Anolis sagrei: one gene and its partner. The protein of the gene in region 2 interacts with the protein of the main gene of each other region in a pairwise test. Links are inferred from orthologs where the notes say so. Each region holds a gene or a part of one and is shown on either strand. Other genes may lie near its edges. The genes, in order: GNG3 and GNB5.

Region 1 (9,020 bases), on a different chromosome or scaffold from region 2:
AGCTTTCAGAAAGAGAATTATTATTATTATTATTTCAACAGAAAAGGAAGAAACCATGAAAATGAACAAAATCTGGCTACCAGTATTAAAAAACTCAAATATTACAACAGCAAAACAACAGAGAGCAAACAGGCACATCAAATCACCTCTCTACAAGAGTTTCCCCCAGGCATTTCCAAGCCATTAAATGCTAATCAAGGTGGTCAGTTGAAACATTCACACCCAGCTCCAGCAGACAAGAGTCCTTTGTCCCACCGTGGTCATTCCACAGATATATAAACCCATTTTCCTACTTCCAACAGACCTCACTACCTCTGAGGATGCTTGCCATAGATGCAGGCGAAACGTCAGGAGAAAATGCCTCTAGAACATGGCCGTATAGCCCGGAAAAACCTACAACAACCCATTATTATTATTAATTATTATTATTATTAATATTATTATAGAATCAGAGTTTGATGGGACCTTCAAAGGCCATCCAGTTCGACCCCATTCTTCCAGGCAGGGACACCATCAAAGCCCTCCCAACAGATGGCCATCCATCCAGCCTATGCTTAAACACCTCTAGAGAAGGACACTCCATTTAAATATGGCTCATCCTTGCTAATGCCAGGGTCAAGAGAAACGCCCAGGCCCCAGTCACAAAACAGAGAGAACATTAAATGGAGCCTCTTTCTCTGGGAGGCCATCTGTCGGGAGACCTTTGATTGTGTCTCCCCGCATGGCAGAATAGGGGTTGGGCTAGGCGAGCTGCGGGGAGGGAAAATGTGAGAAGAAGTAAACCTGAGTTGGTCGCAGGGTCGCAGCAGCAGCCACCGCCTCTTCCTGCCTCTCCTCCTCTCCCCAAATCCAGCTGAGCCTCTTCCGGGTTTAAGCCCCGCCCCCTTTGGGGAGGGAGGGGGACGAAGGGGGCGGGCTCTTCTGAGAGCGGATGGCTCTGCTCACAAGCATCTTGCAAGTCACGTGGCCTCAGGGATGCAGCCCACTCGCCTCCCGTCGCCATGGCAACGGAGCAGGGCCCGCTGTGGTCCAGAGCAGCATCCTCTGATGGGCAGGCTGCCTCTCAAGGGCCCCATCATGCCCATCAATGGGGATGGGCCTGGGACCCAAACCAGTCTCTGCCCACTCAGGGTCTTTGTAGGAGAACAGCCTCCATTATTATTATTATTATTATTATTATTATTATTATTAGGAGCCCCCCCTCCCCGTGGCAGAGCGGGTTAAACCACTGAGCTGCTGAACTTGCTGACCAAATGTGAGTAGAGCAATAGGTTCTGCAGAGCAGGGTGAGCTCCCACTGTTAGCCCCAGCTTCTGCCAACCTAGCAGTTTCCAAACATGCAGATGTGAGTAGAGCAATAGGTACCGTGGAGCAGGGTGAGCTCCCGCTGTTAGACCCAGCTTCTGCCAACCTAGCAGTTCGCAAACATGCAAATGTGGGTAGAGCAATAGGTTCTGCAGAGCGAGGTGAGCTCCTGCTGTTAGCCCCAGCTTCTGCCAACTTAGCAGTTTGCAAGCATGCATATGTGAGTAGAGCAATAGGTACTGTGGAGCGGGATGAGCTCCCACTGTTAGCCCCAGCTTCTGCCAACCTAGCAGTTCGCAAACATGCAAATGTGGGTAGAGCAATAGGTACCGCGGAGCAGTGTGAGCTCCTGCTGTTAGCCCCAGCAGAAGCCAACCTAGCAGTTCGCAAACATGCAAATGAGAGTAGAGCAATAGGTACTGTGGAGCGGGGCGAGCTCCCACTGTTAGCCCCAGCTTCAGCCAGCCTAGCACTTCAAAAACATGCAAATGTGAGTAGAGCAATAGGTACCGCAGAGCAGTGTGAGCTCCTGCTGTTAGCCCCAGCTTCTGCCAACCTAGCAGTTCGCAAACATGCAGATGTGGGTAGAGCAATAGGTTCTGCAGAGTGGGGTGAGCTCCCGCTGTTAGCCCCAGCTTCTGCCAACCTAGCAGTTCGCAAACATGCAAATATGGGTAGAGCAATAGGTTCTGCAGAGTGGGGTGAGCTCCCGCTGTTAGCCTCAGCTTCTGCCAACCTAGCAGTTCGCAAACATGCAAATGTGGGTAGAGCAATAGGTTCTGCAGAGCGAGGTGAGCTCCTGCTGTTAGCCCCAGCTTCTGCTAACCTAGCAGTTTGCAAGCATGCAGATGTGAGTAGAGCAATAGGTACCACGGAGCGGGGTGAGCTCCCACTGTTAGCAGCTTCTATGCAGCTTCTGCCAACCTAGCACTTCGAAAACATGCAAATGTGAGTAGAGCAATAAATCAGCAGAGTCTGATTTAAACTGGGTTATATCAGTCCCCAATGCCAGATAATCTGGGATAAATAAAAAACCTGGGATTACATCCTGGGATATAGGGCATGTCTGGAAGGGCCCATAGTAGAACACATGCTGAACAAGGTGATGCTGCAGCTCAAAAGGCCAACGTGATACTAAAGTACCAAACGTAGGCATTCACAGTTATAGGATGGCTTGGAAATAGCCCACGTGAAAGGGATCTGGGTGTCTTAATATGCCACAAGCTGAACATTAGGTTAACAGCTAAAAAGGCCAATGCAACTCAGGCCAGGTCGTCCCTGGACAGATAGGGAGCCAGATGCCTAGCCTGACACAGATGGAAAAATGCAACTCTGCTCGCAGTGGAAGCCTGGGCCTCCACTGTCAGCAGAGGGTCTAAAAAGATTTATTTATTTATTATTTATTTCGAGGTTTTATATACCGACCCTCTCACCTTCAAAGAGGGATTCGGACCGGTTCACAACATGTGTTAACATACAAAAAAATACAATAACAACACAATGCCACTTCATTACACGGTTAAAATATCAGCACTATACACGTTAAAACATTATCATCACAGTTAAAAGAGCCAACTCGTCCGACACCATCACAATCCCATTCATCATCCTCCTTTCATGTGGGCAAAAAATTAAATCAGTTGTCAAATGCCGCGTTCCACAACCAGGTCTTTGTTAGTTTCCTGAACGTCATGAGGGAGGGGGCAGTTCTGATCTCTAATGGCAGGGAGTTCCAAAGTCGAGGGGCCACCATTGAGAAGGCCCTGTCCCTCGTCCCCACCAGCCGTGCTTGTGCAGGCGGAGGGACCGAGAGCAGGGCCCCTCCAGACGATCTTAGTGGTCTTGATGGTTCGTAGGGGAGAATATGTTCGGAGAGGTAAACAGGGCCGGAGTTGTTTAGGGCTTTATAGGTTAACACCAGCACTTTGAATTGTGCTCGGAAGCTAATCGGCAGCCAGTGGAGTTCAAGTAAGAGCGGAGTGGTGTGCTCCCTGTACCCCGCACCCGTTAGCAATCTGGCTGCCACGCGTTGTACTTGCTGCAGCTTCCGGGCAGTCTTCAGAGGCAACCCCACATAGAGAGCGTTGCAGTAATCTAAGCGGGATGTAACCAAAGCGTGTACTACCGTGGCCAAGTCAGCCCTCCCAAGGTACGGACGCAGCTGGCGCACAAGTTTTAATTGTGCGAATGCTCCCCTGACCACCGCTGAAACCTGGGGTTCCAGGCTCAGCGATGAATCCAGGAGAACTCCCAGACTGCGTACCTGTGCTTTTAGGGGGAGTGTGACCCCGTCCAGCACAGGCTGTAAGACTCCCAGACTCTTTACCAAAGATGACGGGCATAATGTCACACCATCCAGGGTAGGCAACCAGATCACTCCTCCGTCTGGGCGACCCAACCAAAGGATCTCCGTCTTCGCTGGATTCACCCTCAACCTGCTGGCACACAACCATCCAGTAATGACCTCAAGGCATTGATGGAAATTATCGAGTATGGAGTCTAGCTTGCTGCTGACCTATGCAACAGTTGCATCTGTCAAGTAGGAAATTTAGGTACTGCTTTATGTGGAGAGACTAATTTACAATGCCATAAAAATCCTTCCAGCAGAGTGCAGAAGAATGAGGAAGTACTCCATCAAAGGACTCGGTGTCACAAGTGGACGGTGAAACGGCAGTGATGGGAGTGATGGGGATGAAGAGGAACCACTGGATTGGACCAAGGTACAGGAGGTTCAGAATGTGTGTACTCAACCAACGTTTAGTGGCACTTTTGTGGGGTTTTCTGGTGACGGGGATTGGCAATCTGGTGATACTGTGGATTCATGGGGAGACCTAAGTCTTGACAAGAAGTGAAAGAGTTGGAGGGATGGGCATTGGCGTTCAGCTGTAGAGGCTAAGCCAGCTGATAGCAATGAGGACGGGATGGAGGGCAGCTCATCATCGGATGATGAGCTGTAAGATAAATAAAGGCACTGGAATTATAGAACTTTGCTTGGTTGGTTTCGTGACTTGGGTCTTGTCGCTGCCGCTTTCCTGTTGGGCTTGGGTCCTGGATCTGCAGGTTGCTGTTTGCTTTGTTTGCTTGGATTCTCGTAAGTGCGGATTTCCTCTCTCCTTGACTTCGGACTGTTTTGACGATACGGCCTTGTGGAATTTGGAACTTTCAACTGAGATTTCTTCGACTTTGGACTGCTACTGGACAACGGCTTATCTTCACAGCTCTTTGTTTGCTTGTTTTCTTTGAACTGTGAGATTTTGGTGTGTTTTGCACAAACTCTTGTTTAATCCGGGGTTTTTTTGCCAGTTTAATCTGGCTTATTTTCTGAGTTCGTTTTTCAAGCTGTAAATTGCTACAAACTTTGAGTTTTGACCAGAGGCACTGAAGCAAGTGTCTCTGGGTCCTATTTACTTTGCTTTAATAAACTATTGTTTGGACTATACTCCTGTGTCTGGCTCTTTAAGGCATCTGGATTCCGACACCAAACACTTCACCTGAGAGCCAGCAAAATGTCCTTTCTTTCCTTATCAAAAAGGATGGTGAAATCACATATTGTCATAGATTTTGGAACCAAGAGAGAGAAGAGGAAGGAAGAGAAAGAGCAAGAAAAAGCAAGCAGTGCACTGATGTCAGATTTCCAAATGAAAGAGGCAATGATGATGATGATGCTGCTATGTACTGCAGCTTTCATGTGTTCGTACCATTACCTGCATAGGGGGTGCATTCACCCGAACCTCTATGTTTCTGGTCCTGTTTGTGTGCTGCGTCCTCTTTGCCTCTGTGCTTCCTCCTTCGTGGCTTCCTTTTGGTGGCAAAACCACACTTTTGGAATGTATTAAAAAGTAAACAAATCTCTTGCTTCCCCTTGAAGCCTATCTGGGTGTGGGTACTGCCACCCCTTTCTCTGACACAGAGATGGTTCGGTCCCAGCATTGAGGGGTTTTGCAGCATCCTCAAGGTGCTGGACTATTGAACTAAGCCTAGGAAAGGTGAGCAGAGCCATTTGGGGGAGACAGCGAGGCATCAATTTGGTGGCAGAGGAGGAGAACCAAGCAGGCAAAGGCTGCCAGAACCCTCCCTTTTCCTCGCTCTACAATTTCCCAGTATTGATAGGGGATAGAGAAGAGTCGCCCACCTTATCCAGAGCTTCAAAGGGCTGAAGAATACCATTTTGATCTCCTTCTTTTTGTCCAGGTAATAGCAACGAAAGGGTTTGTCTTGGAGGTTGGGGCTCAGTCCAGGTTGGAGGCTTATATGCATGAGATCAATGGTAGGTGAAGACTCTCTAGGGAAAGTGGCTTTTTTTTTTAAGGCAAACATAAGGATCTGGGTTGCATGGCTACTCTATATCATTTTGTATCTGTTCTAACAGAGACAAAGACAATATATGCCTTGGCTGGGTGGTTTGGGTGGGGTGGGATGGAGAGAAGCATTTCTGTTTTCCTCTCCCTGTCTCTCATTTGTTCCCTCCCCATCACCTCCTACAGTTTAGGAATAGTATTACTGCATGAGTCTCTATTTCTGTGTGAAGGCAGCCTTCAGAATGGCCACCAGAATAGGCTCCTTTCTCAGTGGACGCAATAGGAGATGCATATAGAATCCTAGACTTGGAAGAGACCCAAGGGCCATCCAGTCCAACCCTGTTCCTTGCAGGAAAAACACATTCAAAGCCCTCCCAACAGATGGCCATCCAGCTTCGGAATCATAGAACCCTAGTGTTGGAAGAGACCCCAGGGCCATCCAGTCCAATCCTCTTCCTTGCAGGAAAAGCACATTCAAAGCCCTCCCGGCAGATGGCCATCCAGCCTCAGAGTCATAGAACCCTAATGTTGGAAGAGACCCCAGGGCCATCCAGTTCAACCCTGTTCCATACAGGAAAAACACAATCCAAGCCCTCCTGATGGATGTCAGACAGAAGAGAGAATGGGGTTGGATTGAATCGTAGAATCATAAGAGTTGGGAAAGGCCACTCTGGGTGGCCATCTGGCAGGAGAGCTTTGATTGTGTCTTTCTGCCTGGCTGAATGGGGTTGGACTGGATGGCCCTTCCAAATCTAGGATGATGTCATTCAAGCGAAGCCTCTGTCATGCATGAAGACACAATCAAAGCCCTCCCGACGGATTGCCATCCAGTCTCTACTTAAACACCCTCCAAAGTTGGAGACCCCACTGGACTGCAAGGCAACAACATATTCCACCACTAAACAGCACTTACTGTAAGGAAGATCTTCCTAATGTTTAGGTGAAATCTGCTTCCTTGCAAATTGAATCCATTGCTCTGTTGCCCCTTCTAGAATGTGAGCTCCTTTCAAATATTTATTTATTATTTATTTATTATTATTTATTATTTACTTTACTTGTATACCGCTCTTCTCAGCCATTAGGCGACTCAGAGCGGTTAACAACCAGTATCAGCAATACAGTACAAACAACTATTCTATTTGTTTACCTCAAAAGGGACTCAAGGCAATGGGTCAAACCCTTGTGCCAACAGGTCGAAGGTTCAAATCCAGAGTAAGCGCGAATGAGCTCCCTCTGTCAGCTCCAGCTCCCCATGCAGGGACATGAGAGAAGCCTCCCACAAGGATGTTAAAACATCAAAACACCTGGGCATCCCCTGGGCAACGTCCTTGCAGACAGCCAATACTCTCACACCAGAAGCGACTAGCGGTTTCTCAAGTTGCTCCTGACACAGAAAAAAAAAACCTATTCACTGCCTTTGGACAACAAACAGAATACACTTAAATTAGAAATTAAAATTAAATACACATTAAAACATGTAAAACATTGAATTCAGTATTAAAATCATACTATCCTCAATAATAATATGGATATTTAAACATGGTGGTCATGCCCCCTCTCAGCCTTGATCTCAATACTAAATATACCAAGCTCCTTAAGCCGTTCCTCATAGGAAGAAGATGAGTGGCCATGGGAAGAAAAGGAATCGCTCTAATAATTGAGTTCTAAAGGTTCGTTTTCCTGTGACAGATTATCTTTCAAAGGGTAAAGTATGTTTTCTAAAAAAAAATCTCTGTGGGAGGAATGTGCATTTGTTTACATTTAACATTGGGGAATGGCAGTGGTAGGTCGTTGCTATGGTTAGCATATGAATAAGGGTAGGCAGCTTCCTTCATTATACTAGCAATATGATTATATATTAATTGATTGCAAATATACAAGAAGGAGCCCCCAGTGGTGCAGCGGATTAAAGCGCTAAGCTGCTGAACTTGCAGACCAAAAGGTCACAGGTTTGAATCTGGGGAGTGGGGTGAGCTCCTGCTGTTAGCCCCAGCTTCTTCTAACCTAGTAGTTCAAAAGCATGCAAATGTGAGTAGAAAAAGGAAGAACAAGGAGGCGATAGGGCCTCTTTGAGGAGAAGATGGGGTAATGCTGACAGGGGATAAGGAAAAGGCAGAACTACTTAATGCCTTCTTTGCCTCAGTCTTCTCACAAAAAGAAAGTCATCCTCAACTTCAGCAAGATGGAGTGGATGAGGGATTAGAGGACATCCAACCCCAAACTGGGAAACAAGTCCTCCAGGAATACCTGGCCGCTCTAAATGAGTTCAAGTCCCCAGGGCCAGATCAACTACACCCAAGAGTATTGAAGGAACTAGCGGAAGTCATTTTGGAACCATTGGCAACCATCTTTAGAGTTCTTGGAGAACGGGAGAAGTTCCAGCAGATTGAAGGAGGGCCAATGTGGTCCCAATCTTCAAGAAGGGAAAAAAGGATGACCCAAACAATGACCAATGTCCGGTCAGCCTCATGTCGATACCAGGCAAGATTCTGGAAAAGATTGTTAAGGAAGTGGTCTGCAAACACTTAGAAACAAATGCGGTCATCGCTAATAGTCAACATGGATTTATCAAAAACAAGTCATGCCAGACTCATCTGATCTCTTTCTTCGATAGAGTTACAAGCTGGGTAGATGCGGGGAATGCCGTGGATGGAGCGTACCTGGATTTCAGGAAGGCCTTCGACAAGGTCCCCCATGACCTTCTGGCAAACAAACTAGTCCAATGTGGGCTAGGCAAAACTACGGTGAGGTGGATCCGTAATTGGCTGAATGGACGAACCCAGAGGGTGCTCACCAATGCTTCCTCTTCATCCTGGAAAGAAGTGACGCGCGGAGTGCCACAAGCAGGGTTCCGTCCTGGGCCCGGTCCTGATCAGGATCTTCATTAATGACTTAGACGAAGGGTTAGAAGGCAGGATAATCAAGTTTGCAGATGACACCAAATTGGGAGGGATAGCCAATACTCCAGAGGACAGGAGCAGGATTCAAAACGATCTTGACAGATTAGAGAGATGATGGGCCAAAACTAACAAAATGAAGTTCAACAGGGACAAATGCAAGATACTCCACTTAAGCAGGAAAAAAGGTAATGCAAAGATCCAGAATGGGGGACAATGCCTGGCTCGAGAGCAGTACGTGTGAAAAAGACCTTGGAATCCTCGTGGACAGCAAGTTAAACATGAGCCAACAATGTGATGTGGCGGCAAAAAAAGCCAATGGGATTTTGGCCTGCATCAAGAGGAGCATAGTGTTCAGATCTAGGGAAGTAATGCTACCCCTCTATTCCGCTTTAGTTAGACCACATCTGGAATATTGTGTACAATTCTGTGCACCACAATTGAAGATAAATGTTGACAAGCTGGAATGTGTCCAGAGGAGGGCGACTGAAATGATCAAGGGTCTGGAGAACAAGCCCTA
Region 2 (9,214 bases):
GAATCAGACCTGGCCACATAGAACTCCTATGACCAACAGAAAATGCTAGAACGGCTTGGTGGGCATTGACCTTAAGTTTTAGAGTTGTAGTTCACCTAAATCCAGAGAGCACTATGGACTCAAACAATGATGGATCTGGACCAAACTTGGCACGGACACTCAATATGTGCAAATGTGAACTCTGGTGGAGTTTGGGGAAAATAGACCTTGACATTTGGGAGTTGTAGTTGCTGGGATTTATAGTTCACCTAAAATCAAAGAGCATTCTGAACCGCACCAATGATAGAATTGGGCCAAACTTCCCACACAGAACCCCATGACCAACAGGAAATATTGTATATTCTGATGGTCTTTGGGGACCCCTCTGCAGGGGTGGCTCAACCCATTATGCAAAGTAAGCATTTGCAGTGGAGTTGATTTTGCCCAGGGGCGCTCTTGAGGCGCTCTTGGGGGAAAATAGACTTTGACATATGCGAGTTGTAGTTACTGGGATGTATAGTTCACCTACAATCAAAGAGCATTCTGAACTCCACCAAAGATGGAATTGAACCAAATATGGCACACAGAACTCCCATGATGAACAGAAAATATGTATCAGTGATTGGTTGGGGGGTGGGCGCCAAAATACTGTTTGCTTACCGTTGAAATTTACCTAGGGCTGCCTCTACCCCTCTGATACCCCCTTGTGACCCCCCCCCCAGGGGTCCCGACCCCCAGGTTGAGAAACACTGCTCTAGAACATGGCCATATAGCCCGAAAAAAAACCTGCAACAACCCATTGTTGGCTCATGTTTAACTTGTTGTCCACGAGGACTCCAAGATCTTTTCCACACATATTGTTGTCAAGCCAGGCATCCTCCATCTTTGCATTTAATTTTTTTTCTGCCAATCCCCAAACTTCAAACTGGGCACATTTCTGTCAACGTTATGGACTGGTCTTCCTGGATTATTATTATTTTTCTTTCACCCATGACAGTTTCTTCCATGACTTGAGAAAAAAATATTCACTTCTGTGGAACCATAAACCAGCAGCAGGAAAGGTGTTGCAATACAAAACCCAGGCGTGTGCCTTCTGACTGTCTAAGCCGATTATCACAGCATTAGGATCGTCCTCTTATGTGTCCAGTTGAAACTGGTCAGTTCCTTGCCGTCCCGGCATCTTGAAGTCTTTGCTCTGATAAAAGAAGGTAAGGAGCATTTAAAATACTATTAATATCAAACATATCTAGAAGCCATAGAGAAATATTGAGATGATTGTTATATTGTTTATTATTTAGCATAAATACTTAAAAATATGTTTACTATAGATAGTTACTCAGAGCTGTGTCTTCTTTGATTGAGGTAACAAAGTGACTGCTTTCTTGAATTTTGTGTAGAGTCGTGAAGTATCTGTTTAAAATCCTGAAAGATGATGCTGTCAAGGTGATGCATGCCATAGGCCAGCAAATATGGAAAACACAAGAATGGCCTTCAGACTGGAAAAATATAATAATAATAATAATAATAATAATAATAATAATAATAATAATAACAATACTGTATTTATACCCCACCACCATCTCCCCAGTGGGGACTCAGAGCGGCTTACATGAGGCCAAGCCCGAACAACAAATTACAATAAAATAAAACCAAAACACAACCAAAAATGCAAACAGTAAACAACAACATCATAATAAAATAAACATGTAAATATATAACAATATAAAATTACAATAGACGCAATCACAATAACAATGGATGGGCTACATGTAATGATTAAAAGAGAGACTAATTAAAACTTTTAAATGCTTGTATGTTATTGTTCATTGTTATTGTTTATTGTTTATTTTTGTTTTGAGATTTATTTTACTGTTTTGTATTGATTATTTTGTTACTGCTGTCGTTTTATTGATGTACTGCAGGCTTGGCCTCATGTAAGCTGCACCGAGTCCCTTGGGGAGATGGTAGCAGGGTACAAATAAAGTTTTATTATTATTATTATTTTAAAACTCAGGCGAGATAAAAAAGAGACAGATTATTTGCGGAGGAGGGCTCATTATAGTGGGGGTTGTGGAATCAAGCTTTCCCACAGAGCGGGGGACAACATATATGCCAATGACAGAAGGTTGAGGCTAAGCAGTAGTCTGGGATTGTATACATACTCCAAAGGCGCAGCGGGAGAGCCAGGTTTTAAGGTCCTTTTTAAAGGTTTGTAGGGTAGGGGCTTCCCTAATTTCTCCAGGTAGTGAGTTCCAAAGTCGGGGGGCCACAGAGGAGAAAGCTCTCTCCCTAGTGCTTACCGGGCGAGCTTGTGAAGCTGGCAGGGGCAAAAGAAGGGCCTCCCCAGATAAATCAACTTCTATCCCCATATCAACAAAGGGAAATGCTAAAGACTGCTCAAACTTCCGCATAGTGGCTCTTCTTTCTCATGCCAGGAAGGGAATGCTCAAGATCCTGCAAGGAAGACTCCAGCAAGACATGGAGAGAGAGTTGCCAGATGGACGAGCTGGGAAAGACAGAGGAACCAGAGACCAGATTGACAATATCTGGATGCTGGAGAATGGAGAAAGGCAGGGAGTTTCAGAAAAACATCTATTTCTGTTTCATTGACTATTCTAAAGCCTTTGACTGTGTGGATCATCATAAATTGTGGCATGTTCTTGGTGGTATGGGCATACCAAATCACCTTGTCTTTCTCCTGAGGGATCTGTATAAGGACCAAGTAGCAACAGTAAGAACTGACCACGGAACAACAGATTGGTTCAAGATTGGGAAAGGCGCACGGCAGGGTTGTATCCTCTCACCCAACCTATTCAACTTGTATGCAGAACACATCATGCAAGGATGTGCAGAGCTTGACGAAGGCAAGGCTGGGGTGAAAATTGCTGAAAGAAACATTAACAACCTTAGATATGCAGATGACACCACTTTGATGACCGAAAGCGAGGAGGAGCTGAGGAGCCTTCTAATCAAGATGAAAGAAGAAAATGCAAACGCTGGGTTGAAGCTAAACATAAAAAAACAAGATTATGGCAACAAGAACGATTGACAACTGGGAAATAGAGGGAGAAAACGTGGAGGCAGCAACAGACTTTATATTTCTAGGTGCAAAGATGAGTGCAGACACAGAGTGCAGCCAGGAAATCAGGAGATGCTTACTTTTCGGGAGGAGAGCAAGGACCAATGTCGACAAAATAGTGAAGAGTAGAGACATCACACTGGCAACAAAGATCCGCATAGTCAAAGCAATGGTATTTCCCATAGTCACCTACGGATGTGAGAGCTGGACCATAGGGAAGACTGAGCGAAGGAAGAGAGATGCTTTTGAACTGTGGTGCTGGAGGAAAGTTCTGAGAGTGCCTTGGACCGCAAGAAGATCCAACCAGTCCATACTTCAGGAAATAAAACCCAACTGCTCACTGGAGGGAAGGAAAGTAGAGGCCAAGATGAAGTACTTCGGCCACATCATGAGAAGAAAGGAAAACTTAGAGAAGACAATGACGCTGGGGAAAATAGAAGGAAAAAGAAAGAGGGGGTGACCAAGGGCAAGATGGATGGATGGCATCCTTGAAGTGACTGGATTGACCTTGAAGGAGCTGGGGATGGTGACGGCCGACAGGGAGCTCTGGCCTGGGATGGTCCATGAGGTCACAAAGAGTCAGAAACGACTGAACGAATGAACAACAACAATGAAGTATCATATTCTTATTCCTCGTTGGGAGTCTTATGATATGACTTACGCTCCTTGGATCAAAGATCAGGGATTGCCAATATGCCTCAGGGATGGACAGACTTGTGGGATTTAATTTGTTTTTCCTTTTTGCTTAGAAGCCAGATCTGCCAAATAAAACCTAGTGCAAAGAATGTACATTTAGACTCAAATAATTCTACATCCATTAATATATTTTAAGCACCCAAAGTGAAGTATACCTGTATTTACATGCAAGGAAAAAACCACTGAGATCTCACAACAGATCTTCTGAGGATGCCTGCCACAGATGCAGGCGAAATGTCAGGGGAGAATGCTTCTAGAACATAGCCATACTGCCCGAAAAACCTACAACCCCCCCAAACCCACTGCCAATTACCCAATTTGTAAAAAAGGCAATGTTTTAAAAATGCTACAGAACAATCTGTGTTGACATTTTACAAGGCCTTTATCCTTCTCTGCCAAAGAGTGCTATGCCTCACCAAACTGTAATTCCCAGGATTACATTGCATTGAAACATTGCCTTTAAAGTACGAGTGTTATCCAGAAAGTAAGGTTACAAGGCACGTTAACTCCATGGGGAATTTTCTTGGGGGAAATTGGTATAGCAGGAAGTCAGTGGAAGAGAACGAGCAGTGCCAGTCGTCAGTAGCTCATCGACTAACTTTGTGGTAAAGGTTAGAGATGAGCTTCCTCATTCCATTTCCCTCCAAGTGCATTTAAACATGGCCTTCAAAGTTCGAATGTTATTCGGAAAGTAAGGTTACAAGGCACGTTAATCCTCATGGGGAATTTTCTTGGGGGAAATTGGTATCACTGCTGTGTAGCAGGAAGACAGCGGAAGAGAACGAGCAGTGCCAGTCGTCAGTAGCTCATCGACTAACTTTGTGGTAAAGGTTAGAGATGAGCATCCTCGTTCCGAAGTTTGCACTGTAATGTGCGAAGTTTGCGCTGTAATGTGATACCTAAAAGCTAAGGGCATGAACGCAGCTATGATGCATCGCAAAATCATTTCAGTTTATGGAGAGGACGTAATGTCAAGACAGCATGGGACAAAATGGGTATGGAATATATTGTAAGACCATGACAAAAATTCACAGAGCTGTCCAAAACAAACACCGTGGGATGCTGACGGTGGGAGTTATGACAATGCCTGTCCGCACACCGCTCATACAACACAAAAGTTGCTGACTTTGTTTGGTTGGGATGTTTTAACCCACCCTGATCTCACACCCAGTGAGTCTGTTCACTAAATTGAAGGAACACCGTGGTGGAAAACACTTTTCCGATGCCGAGGAGGTGAAAATCGAAGTGACAAACTGGCTGAAAAAGATGGAGGGAAACTTCTGTGACACAGGCATCAAAAACTCATCCCACGGAAGACAAAATATATTGAACTGAATGGTGATTATGTAGGAAAATAATGTAATACCTAGACTACAATCTATGTAAGTGTTATTAAAATACATTCATTCTTTATATTTTAAAAAAATCCTTTCTGGATTTATTTAAACTTTCTGGATAATCCTCATAGTTCACATTGCGTTAGTTCTAAGTCTGTGGGAGACCACGGTTTGAATCCCTTCTTGGCCACTGAAACCCACTCTCTGCTCTTGGGCCTTTTGGCTTCTTTTATCCTCAGAGATGGCAAACTTCCTCTGAACAAAGCTTGCCAGAAAACTCTGAAATGGTTACCTTAGGGAAGCCGTGAGCTGGAACTACGTGAAGGCAACAAATAACAAAGTTGTAATAATCAATTGTGCCATAATTGGCGGTTGTCTTTAGGCATCTTGAACACAAGTGGCAGGAATTCAGAATTTTCCTGCATTCAAAGAGCGGCGTTTACTCTGCCTGCAGGAGTTGCAGATTCTTTAAGACACTTGAAAGGCAGCGCTAGGTCAAGACATTTTTCACCTGGGGTGTAATTTTAACCTCAAGCTGGTTATGTTATTTTTGCAGAACTGCAAGTAGTCCTTCACATCCTTGACAGTTAAAACACAACGAAGCAAATAACAATTTGCTGGACTTTTAAATTGTTAGTGCCAGTGCTGTTTAAAATGCAAAGGCTTTGTGCCTCACGTCTAGCATCCACCTGCTTTCATTCTCTCTTTTCTCTCTCTCCCTCTCTCTCTTCCAGCTCCAGCACTTCGCAAAGATGTGTGACCAGACGTTTTTGGCCAATGTGTTTGGTCCATGCGACAAATGTGCCCAAAACCGGGCCCTCCGAGAGATTTACCGCAAAAATGAGAAACTCAGCTACTGCTCACTATGTGTGGGAATGGTACGGGACGGCATCTATTTTCATTGCGGGAAGGGTGGAATATATCTTGCAATCTCCTTTGAATGCTTTAAATATTTAAACCAGTGGTTCTCAACCTTCCTAATGCCACGACCCCTTAATACAGTCCCTCATGTTGTGGTGACCCCCAACCATAATATTGTTTTCGTTGCTACTTCATAACAGTCATTTTACTACTGTTATGAATTGTAATGTAAATATCTGATATGCAGGATGCATTTTCATTCACTGGACCAAACTGGGCACAAATACCCAATACACCCAAATGTGAATGCTAGTGGGGTTGAGAGAGGATTGATTTAGTAATTTGGGAGTTGAAGTTGCTGGGATTTATAGTTCACTTATAATCAAAGAGCATTCTGAACTCCACCAGCGATGGATTTGAACCAAACTTGGCTCCCATAACCAATGGAAAACACTGGAAGGGTTTGATGGGCATTGAGTTTGGGAGTTGTAGTTCACCTATATCCAGAGAGCACTGTGGACTCACGCAATGGTAGATCTGGACCAAACTTGGCACAAATACTCAATATAATAATAATAATAATAATAATAATAATTGGAAGCAAACCCCAGTGGATACCAGGGGCCACTGTAATGTAAAAGAAATCCCAAATTTGCACGGAAAAATGCTGCACTCGCAGAGCTCAGGCGCTGTTGTATTTAATAAATAATAATTTATTATCTATAGTAATATCTATAGATTCGGGTATCTACGGGGGGGGGGGGGTTGGAAGCAAACCCTACAGGGGGGGGGGGGTTGGAAGCAAACCCCAGTGGATACCAGGGGCCATTGTAATGTGAAAAAAACCCAAGTTTGCATGGAAAAATGCTGCACTTGCAGAGCTCTGGCGATGTATTTAATAAATAATAATAACAACAAGACTTGAATATCTATAGATTTTGGTATCTACGGGGGACTGGTAGCAAACCCCAGTGCATACCAGCGGCCACTGTAATGTAAAAGAAACCCCAAAAATGCTGCACTTGCAGAGCTCAGGCAGTGTTGTATTTAATAAATAATAATAATAATAATAATGGGACTTGAACATCTATAGATTTTGGTATCTACGGGGGGGCTGGAAGCAACCCCCAGTGGATACCAGGGGCCACTGTAATGTAAAAGAAACCCCCAAAATGCTGCACTTGCAGAGCTCAGCCGGTTTTGTATTTAATAAATAATAATAACAATAGGACTTGAATATCTATAGATTTTGGTATCTGGGGGGGGGGGGGGCTTGAAGCAAACCCCAGTGGATACCAGGGGACACTTTAATGTGAAAGAAACCCCAAATTTTTATGGAAAAATGCTGCACTCGCAGAGCTCAGGTGGTGTTGTATTTAATACATAATAGTAATAATAATAATAATAAGAAGAAGAATAGGACTTGAATATCTATAGATTTTGGTATCTACGGGGGACTGGTAGCAAACCCCAGTGGATACCAGGGGCCACTGTAATGTAAAAGAAACCCCAAAAATGCTGCACTCGCAGAGCTCAGATGCTGTTGTATTTAATGTATTATTATTATTAATAATAATAATTAATAATAATAATAATAATAATAATAATTCAAGTCCTATTATTAATAATAATAGGACTTGAATTTCTATAGATTTTGGTATCTACGGTGGACTGGTAGCAAACCCCAGTGGATACCAGGGGCCATTGTAATGTAAAAGAAGCCCCAAAAATGCTGCACTCGCAGAGCTCAGGAGGTGTTGTATTTAATAAATAATAATAGGACATGAATATCTATAGACTTGGGTATCTATGGGGTGCTGGAAGCAAACCCCAGTGGATACCAGGGGCCACTGTAATGTGAAAGAAACCCCAAATTTGCATGGAAAAATGCTGCACTTGCAGAGCTCAGGCGGTGTTGTTTTTTAATAATAATAATAATAATAATAGGACTTGAGTATCTATAGATTTTGGTATCTACGAGGGACTGGTAGCAAACCCCAGTGCATACCAGGGGCCACTGTAATGTAAAAGAAACCCCAAGTTTACATGGAAAAATGCTGCACTTGGAGAGCTCAGGCGGTGTTGTGTTTAATAAATAATAATAAGAATAATAGTACTTGAATATCTATAGATTCGGGTATCTACGGGGGGTTGGAAGCAAACCCCAGTGGATACCAGGGGCCACTGTAACGTAAAAGAAACCCCAAGTTTGCATGGAAAAATGCTGCACTTGCAGAGCTCAGGCGGTGTTGTATTTAATTTATTATTATTGTTGTTGTTATTATTATTAATTAACAATAATAATTAAATAATAATAATAATAATTCAAGTCCTATTATTAATAATAATAGGACTTGAATTTCTATAGATTTTGGTATCTATGGGGGTCTGGAAGCAAACCCCAGTGGATACCAGGGGCACTGTAATGTAAAAGAAACCCCCAAAAATGCTGCACTCGCAGAGCTCAGGTGGAGTTGTATTTATTAAATAATAATAATAATAATAATAATAATAATAATAGGACTTTGATATCTATAGATTTTGGTATCTGGTGGGGGGGGGGGGGCTGGAAGCAAACCCCAGTGGATACTAGGGACCACTGTAATGTAAAAGAAACCCCAAAAATGCTGCACTTGCAGAGCTCAGCCGGTTTTGTATTTAATAAATAATAATAACAATAGGACTTGAATATCTATAGATTTTGGTATCTGGGGGGGGGGGGGGGGCTTGAAGCAAACCCCAGTGGATACCAGGGGACACTTTAATGTGAAAGAAACCCCAAATTTTTATGGAAAAATGCTGCACTCGCAGAGCTCAGGTGGTGTTGTATTTAATACATAATAGTAATAATAATAATAACAATAAGAATAGGACTTGAATTTCTATAGATGTTTGTATCTATGGGGGTCTGGAAGCAAACCCCAGTGGATACCAGGGGCACTGTAATGTAAAAGAAACCTCAAAAATGCTGCACTCGCAGAGCTCAGATGGTGTTGTATTTAATGTATTAATAAATAATAATAATAATAATAATAATAATAATAATAATTCAAGTCCTATTATTAATAAGCAAACCCCAGTGGATACCAGGGGCCACTGCAATGTAAAAGAAACTCCAAAAATGCTGCACTCGCAGAGCTCAGGCAGTGTTGTATTTATTAAATAATAATAATAATAATAATAATAATAATAATAATAATAATAGGAAGCAAACCCCAGTGGATACCAGGGGCCACTGTAATGTAAAAGAAACCCCAAGTTT

The links.
Region 1: the proteins of GNB5 (region 2) and GNG3 interact in a two-hybrid assay, tested with the Homo sapiens proteins (2 studies listed by BioGRID, with this or other methods). The link is inferred for Anolis sagrei from reciprocal best matches to the Homo sapiens genes GNB5 and GNG3.

The regions. Positions count from the first base shown.
Region 1 is NC_090032.1:13,057,181-13,066,200, reverse strand, and holds the start of GNG3 (guanine nucleotide-binding protein G(I)/G(S)/G(O) subunit gamma-3), read left to right. Parts: upstream 1-5,208; 5' UTR 5,209-5,496; intron 5,497-9,020. UniProt on the Homo sapiens protein: Guanine nucleotide-binding proteins (G proteins) are involved as a modulator or transducer in various transmembrane signaling systems.
Region 2 is NC_090029.1:20,396,254-20,405,467, forward strand, and holds the start of GNB5 (guanine nucleotide-binding protein subunit beta-5), read left to right. Parts: upstream 1-5,800; 5' UTR 5,801-5,843; coding exon 5,844-5,969; intron 5,970-9,214. UniProt on the Homo sapiens protein: Enhances GTPase-activating protein (GAP) activity of regulator of G protein signaling (RGS) proteins, such as RGS7 and RGS9, hence involved in the termination of the signaling initiated by the G protein coupled receptors (GPCRs) by accelerating the GTP hydrolysis on the G-alpha subunits, thereby promoting their inactivation.